2 linked regions of the Caenorhabditis elegans genome follow. The protein of the gene in region 2 interacts with the protein of the main gene of each other region in a pairwise test. Each region holds a gene or a part of one and is shown on either strand. Other genes may lie near its edges.

Evidence for each region.
Region 1: the proteins of flh-2 (region 2) and nhr-111 interact in a two-hybrid assay, tested with the Caenorhabditis elegans proteins (one large-scale study listed by BioGRID).

The regions. Positions count from the first base shown.
Region 1 is NC_003283.11:16,123,021-16,126,775, reverse strand, and holds the start of nhr-111 (Nuclear hormone receptor family member nhr-111), read left to right. Parts: upstream 1-1,936; 5' UTR 1,937-1,994; coding exon 1,995-2,046; intron 2,047-2,454; coding exon 2,455-2,565; intron 2,566-2,607; coding exon 2,608-2,778; intron 2,779-2,974; coding exon 2,975-3,114; intron 3,115-3,169; coding exon 3,170-3,259; intron 3,260-3,300; coding exon 3,301-3,472; intron 3,473-3,521; coding exon 3,522-3,721; 3' UTR 3,722-3,755. Other genes in the region: fbxa-143 (F-box domain-containing protein), read left to right, coding at 29-659, 707-913. UniProt on the Caenorhabditis elegans protein: Orphan nuclear receptor.
Region 2 is NC_003281.10:4,950,273-4,954,027, reverse strand, and holds the start of flh-2 (FLYWCH transcription factor 2), read right to left. Parts: upstream 1,905-3,755; 5' UTR 1,896-1,904; coding exon 1,662-1,895; intron 1,536-1,661; coding exon 1,074-1,535; intron 620-1,073; coding exon 344-619; intron 168-343; coding exon 1-167. UniProt on the Caenorhabditis elegans protein: Probable transcription factor. May bind to the promoters of target genes, including micro-RNA genes, in order to repress expression, and acting redundantly with flh-1 and flh-3.

The sequences.
Region 1 (3,755 bases), on a different chromosome or scaffold from region 2:
AAATCATTTCAAAATCTTCTATTTTCAGATTAATTGTGCGAAAAGTGTCTCGAAAAATGAGAGAAGTTATTGACACTCACAACCCTGGCTTCAAAACTCTAGGATTTTTTGTGAAAAAGAATTACACATCATTGCTCGTGGATAACATGGAAATCAAATATAGCAGCGTGGGACGTGATTGTGTCCTGAAGTATGGACAGAAGACAAAAACAATTATTGGTGCAAAATCTGTTGATGTGGCTTTCAATGACTTTGGAATTATCATGAAGAATCCGGCACTTCGCTTGGAAAAATTTCCGATTCAGCTTTCTGTTGATGTTGAGCAAACTGGGACTTATTTTTCAACTCTTCTTGATGTTTTGAAATCCTCCATGTCTTGCCTACACGTTAAAAAGTTTCATGGGACAGATTTCTCCGAGGAGCAGCTTCTATTAGTGATCCCTTTCCTAAAAGCTGGATATCTTGAAAAAATTGAGCTGCTTTCCAATGAGCCCACAGATCTCGAGAAAATCGCTAAACTTGAGCAATGGAAAAGAGCACAAGTTTTTGATTCGTTCTGGAAGAGTTATAAGGTTTCTGTCGAGGATATGCTCCATTTCAGAGAGTTCTATGTAATTGTACCTTGCTTTTCAAAAGAGGATGCAGTAAAACTGAGAGATGTAAGTTTAAATAAAAAATCGAAAAAAAATCCAAGTATTATTTTCAGTTGCTCACAAAATCAGTGGACTTCGAGAACGGGTGCTTCAAGTTCCCCGAAACCAACATTATCGAAATAGTGAGAGTTTTCATTCTGGACTACGAAGGAGAAGAACGGGCCAAAATTGATTATAACGAGAATGGCACAGATTTTATCTTGGACTTTAGCACAGAACACTTTCGATTGACAAAAAAGAAGATTGTGGACAGTGACTGAAATTAAATTTTAAAAAATATGATTTTTTTTAAAAGTTTTTGTATTGAATAAATTTGAGACAGACCGACGGCTCGAATTTCAGGTCAAAAGTAGAATTTTGCAGTTTGCATAATTTCAGTTTTTGATCACCCCATTCAGTAGGGAGCCATAAAAAATGGAATGATGATTAATATGCTCTTCTGAAAAATTAGACTTGTGTAAACACAGTGACGGATAACGACGTACGATTCGATAAAAAGGAATAGCTGCGGGAAATGGTGAGCACATGTGTAGGCTAGGAAGCAGTAGGCATTTTTTAGATGTGTTTGGTGCGGTTCAGTCAATTTTTTGCTGGGCTTTTGTGCTTCACATTGAGAGCGTTTTGATATTTTTGACTAGAAACTGAATGTGAGAAAATACTTGTTTCCGAGTATACTAGATGCTATACATAGGTTTTACAGTTTTATATCTTTATTGCATTTAACTGAAAATGACCAAAATCTGAAAAGTACGTAATTGGAAAATGTATGTCAAATTTCAGAATTTAATTAAATATACAACTGAATCGAAATCTGAATATTCTGAAATTTTCAATGAAGATCTCAGTTTTTTTTCCACCATCTTTTGCGCTAGGTTAGCTTAAAGACATTTTTCGTTTAAAATGAAAAAGTATTTAAATGAAAAATGACATATATTACGAAAATTTCCGCTTTCAGAAAATGTGATATCATATATTTCCAGCGGACAATTTCCGCATTTCTATGACTCAACAATTTATAGTCCAAATTTTATTTCAATTCGATCATTCCCTAGTGAATGTTTGCTTCTGATTGATTTCAACTTTAAATACACAAGTGATCTGAAGTATGGTATATCTGCAAAAAATTTTAGAGAGATTGCTGCTCAACTTTTGGCACCTTTTCTCTCGTTTCTCTAACTGTCACTTTATCCTTCTTGTACTAAGCCGGCTGCCTCCAACAGGTCAAGTGGGAGGAGTCGTGATTAGAAGTTGAGCAGTAACCAAATTATTTTTATGCTATTATTGTAGATACTGACAGGATATTCTCAACTTACTCAACGAGAGAATATTTAACAAAAAAAGATGAGCAGCCAAAATGCGAAGTCAATCGGTGGCATTTTGGAAACTTCAACAGGTATGCCCCAATTTATGGGATCGAAAAATTTTTTCATGCTTTAACTAGATAATTACTCAACTCACCGAAATGTATAAATGAAAGCATTTGGTAAAATATATCAGAAAATTTTTAGAAGTCGAAAACAAACTTGCAACGTTGTTTTCTAGATTTTGGAATTTTTTTGACATTTTCGAACAGATTGATAGCAATTTTTGTACTATACTTGTTGACATCTCAAAAATGTATTCTATGTTTCCATTATTTAGATCCCAGTTACGTTATAACCTGACAGAGGTTTGCGGGCGGTAAGTAGAAAAACCAGAAGCTTACAAAACTTGACCGCACTTATCAGCTTCTCAATTTACTTAGTTCAAAAGTTTTATGACAGAAGATTTACAATCTTTCACGCATATCTATAACTTTCAGTGCCTCTGGTCATCCAACCGCAGATTGTAAATGACCCCGCGCAAAACAACATAACTCTTCCAATCACGCTTTGTGCAGTTTGTGGGGACACTTCTAACGGAAATCATTACGGTTGGAAAGAAGATTTAGAAACTAGATAACAATGAATTTTAGGTGTGCCAACCTGTTTCGGATGCAGTGGGTTCTTCAGAAGAACCGTTAGAAACAAGTTGGTACATGGATGTTGGAATGGAGACGGAAACTGTGTGATTGATAAAGCGAACCGGAACAGGTGCAAGTCCTGTCGAATTAAAAAGTGCTTCAAGAAGGGGATGAATAAGAATGGTAAGCTGCTTCTCTGAGTTTGGGCTTCAGATCATTAACTTTGTGTTTGCACCATATAGTGCGGTAGGTATTTTTCAGTGGCCGACATTTTTTTGAGTTTCGCGCCGCACCATATTAACAAAGGCCTGAGGCCGGCAGAAGCCTCCTGAAGCCGGCGAAGGCGACACAGTTTCGTCTCTAAATAATTATTTTCCAGCTGTGCAACCCGAGAGAACTTCCCATAGCTACACTGTAGAGTATGTCGAGTTGCCCTCATTCCGAGAGTATTCCAAGGGACTTCTGCCTACTCACTCTGATCGTCTCAGATTCCAACACGAACATGCTCAACATGAAATTGTTAGTTAATCAGGAGACAAACTATCAACCTGAGACACCACAAATTTAATTTCAGGACACAAGCTCCGTGCTAGTTCATCTGAAAAACGCACTCCAGTGGGTGCAACAGTTTTCGCTCTTCGCAGTGCTTTCCGATGTTGAAAAGGTCTAAATGCCAAACATAAAAGTCATTAAAAAAATTTCCAGAGCCAGATCATACTGACCCAGTGGCCACATCTTTTGTGCCTCGCGTTGTTCGAAAACTCCGAAAAAATCTTCATCGATGAAAAATTTGCACAACTGGCTGAGAAATTCAAATCCCTCGAACTTTCGGCGCAGGATTATTTCCTCTTGAAGGGAATTATTATTTTCACGGAAAGTAAGTTTAACTAGAAAAGCTGCTGAGCTTTCAGAAACTAAAATTTCAGCCAAAGATGGCACTGATCTCAAATTCGATCGCCAACTTGATATCTGTATCGGCCTTCTCAATCAGTTGCACCTGGAGTCTTCAAAGTCCAAATCTGGAAGGCTTCTATTTCTCCTCGGCGAGCTTAAATCCTATTCTACTAGACAGCTTGAATCTCTCCTGGATCTTAAAGCTTGTGAGATTGTGATTAGTTTTCTTTAAATTTTGACTATTTTTCTGATGCTGTTATATGCAC
Region 2 (3,755 bases):
GATAAGAACAAAAGAATTGACCCTTCATCTCCTTGCCATCGAACTCCAATTTCAGTTTTTGGCTTCATCATTTCCATGAGCTTTTTGGTCAATTCGTAAGTGATACGGAATTCTTCTTGTGACATCAATTGAGATGAATCTTCTTCTTCTTTAGGAGTTGTGCGTTGCTGAAAATATTAAGAAATTCCAAAGTTGTTCGAAATTTTCGAATTTGGCCCTGAATTTTAGAAATTCGTATCATTTTTTTTAGTTCATTTCCGTTTTTCTGGCTCAAACCTATAGTTTTGAAAAGTTCCAACCTTATGATGTTTGAACAAAGCATAATTATTCAAGAAAAACAAACCGATTTCAAAGTGATAGGCATCACAGTCGTTGATACTCTTTTCTGTCCAACAACCGGCGGACTTATTCCAGCAGAAGTTGCAGCTGCAGCCGCAGTTGCTGCTGCATTGATTGAGGCGAGAAGCATTAAATTATTGTTTTGTTGAAAGTTTTGAATTGTTTGATTTGTCGTGTCAACTTCCATTGGTTCAGCTTTAATTTGTTGTGGAGCAATTGGTAGAGCTTGTGATACATGTGAGGCACGGCTCAGTTTTCGTTGCATGTAGGATCGGTTGATCTAAAAGATTTCAATTTAAAAAAGATTGGGAAATTTTGGAATTCTTAAATCAAAAAACATGAAATTAGCAGTTACACATAATCCGAATGTTTTATTAACAATAAGTGTTGTGCCTACCTGCCTGCCTACAGGATCTACCGAAAACTAAAAAAAAACTTTTTTATTTTGGCTGGTTTCCCTGTAACCCCCCGCGATGAAAATCCACGCCCACTGCGTCTTTAAACTCCGCCCACTCCGTCTGATTGGTTGGAAAATGAGCGGAGCGAATCGCTGATTGGTCTAACATTTATCATTTTAGAGGAAGTTCAAGCAGGGCGATTAGTAAAAATCGAAATACATATAACGTTTCGGCGTACATACATTTTCGTTCTTTCTCGACTTTTTATTTCTAACTATTTTGAATATTTCAAGTTTTGAATATTCACCATAAATCTTTTAGCTCAAAAAAACTCACACTTTTCACTGGATGACAATAATTTGGATGGAGAGTAGAGAAATCTTGCTCATAAAATGCAAGTTCTTCGGGCGACGGTTTCTCATGATTATGTGGATGTAACTTTCTCACAATTTCTCGTGTATTGATATCTGAATGCATTCTTGCATTACAATCATTCTTTCGTTCACATCTCCAAAATTCTTTAGTTCCACAACACGATTTCTTATCAAATGACATGATATATCCATCTGCATACACTTTTTCTCGCACATTTCTCGGTTTATATTCGGGTTCTGTGGACGATGATGACGTGGATGTTGCGTTTGATTGTCCACTGTTAGATACTGCAGTTGCAGTTGAAGACGGTGATGAGCTGGCAGATGGACGTGTATCTTCAGATATTAACTGAGATGTTTGGGATTGTGGATCAAGAAGTAGAGAGAATGCTTTTAGATTTGTAGTGCCAAGGGCTTGAAGAGTCTGAAAAATAACAGATAGACTTACTCGAACATGAATATCTAAAAAGTCTTTCAAGAGAATCAATTTCACATCTATAACTCAATATATTAATCAAGGAGTCAAAACCACAAAGAGCCCATCTCTCACCTGAATAACATTCGTATAGTCAATATCTGCCAAATGTTTTTGCGAATTGGTTCCATTCACCGCTGCCTGCACAATCGTTGGTTGTTGTAACAGTAATCCGGCGACTATTTGCTTCTGTGCCAACATCGCCAGTTCATTATTATTATTTCTGTTTGGTGTCGTCGACGGTAGTGGAAAGATCGGAGGAACCGCTGTGACACCATCTGTATTTGTGTTCATCATGGTGTCCACCATACAGGCGGTCTGAAAAGAGGAAAATTAATGGAAAATACGATGAATTCAAAACTATCTACACGGTATGTCTCAATTGTTTTAGAACATTTGAATAACAAATCCAAGAGATGCAAGAAGCGTACTAATAGAGGAATTAAGTGACAATTGCGATTAAGGTGAACAAAAAACAAAAGTAAAGGGAATATTAATATTTAGGTGCAATAGAAGAAAAGGAAGTGGTACCATCGGAGAATTGAAAAAATATGATAGGGTTATTCCAAAATTGTGAGATCATGAGTTTTCTCTGGTTTGGATTGGGATCTACAAAACTATTTTACTAGAACTTGTATTTTTTTTAATCAGAGAGCAAACAAGGACATTCCAATTCACCTCTAATTGTAGTGCTTTCAATCTTTCTAAACCTCCTCAACATATGATAAAAAGTTATTTAGTTGAAAATATTTTGCTAGATTGCTTTTTTTCAAAAAGTTCAAAATTCGTAGACTTCTTAAAAATATTTAGATAATGTTCCGATGTTTTCCAAAATTCCAATGAATAGTTTAAGATTGCCCTCTTCGAGTTGTTGTAAACATAAAAAATGGAAGAGAGTGTGCTCTTTTGACAGAGACTGCACTAGTAGTAAACGATGCAGTGAGGGGGAACAAAATGGTCGCGCCAGGCGCCAGCTGGTCGCAGCAGGGGTCCGTCCGCCGGTTTGGAGCCTCTCCCCTCTCCCGGTTTCCATTGGCTCCACATCAGTAGAATCCACTAAATATATGCGGAATGGCGTCGGGAAGCGGCCGCGGCGGAGGAGAGAGGGAGGAGGACGCGGCGACGGACGATTTATTGGCGCCATGCTGTGTTGGTTTAACTCAGTTATTCATCACTTTTGAAAGATACAAATTTAATGAAAAAGTGACAGAGATAATGAAAGAACCCTAGAATTAGATGGTAGATTGGTCAAAAAAGTAAAAACGCAGTCGGAGGCGGCCTATACCTAGCGGGAATTTCGTCTAATGACGCGAATTTTAAGAAATCAAGACAATCTGAAAAAAAACGAACTAAGCCTAAGCCTAGGCCTCATCATGAGCCTGAGCCTGAGCCTGAGCCTGAGCCTGAGCCTGAGCCTGAGCCTAATCCTAAGAGCAATCATAAGCCCAGGCCGGTCTGCAGACCCTTAAACTTGCGAAAGTATTGTACAAGACTTGCGGTTTTTCTTGTTAATTTCATAAACTTATGATTATCTGTAAAGTTAGCTTAACATGAATAATATGTAAAGTCCTGACCGGAAAAAACAATTAAATATTCAATTATTACAATGTGGTTAGATACTAACGAAAACAATCATTTTTTAAGCTTACAAAAAACTATATGAATAACAATATAATTAAATTTTTAGAAAATATAAATATTAAACCAAAAAATACCAACTTGGAATGCCCTTTTCGTGAGCTCAATGACTCCGTTGAAGCGGAGCCAAAAAGCAGAAGGGACCTGACTCCCAGAGCCCACGAGAAGCGCCAGGAGAAGCGCGCGCCGAAAAAAGATGGATAGAGAGAAAAAGAGAAAAAGAATGAAAAAAAGAGAGAAGCAGTCAGATGACCGACGCGGCGCCAGTCAAAATAGAGGCGCTCGTGGTGGAGTGAGAGAAGGACGGGGGAGCGAGAGTAGAAGCAGAAAAAAAAGAAAAGAAGACCACCCAAACAAGCTCTTTCTCTCTTTTTCTTTAGACCAACGTACCTATTATCGTCACCGCTTCTTCTTCTTCTTCTACGCCTCTTTTTTCTCCATATTCCCGTGTCACCATCACCACCTAGTACGGCAAAAAACAAAGGTGATGGATGGGAAAAATGAAAATATTCACTGAATTTAGTGGTTATA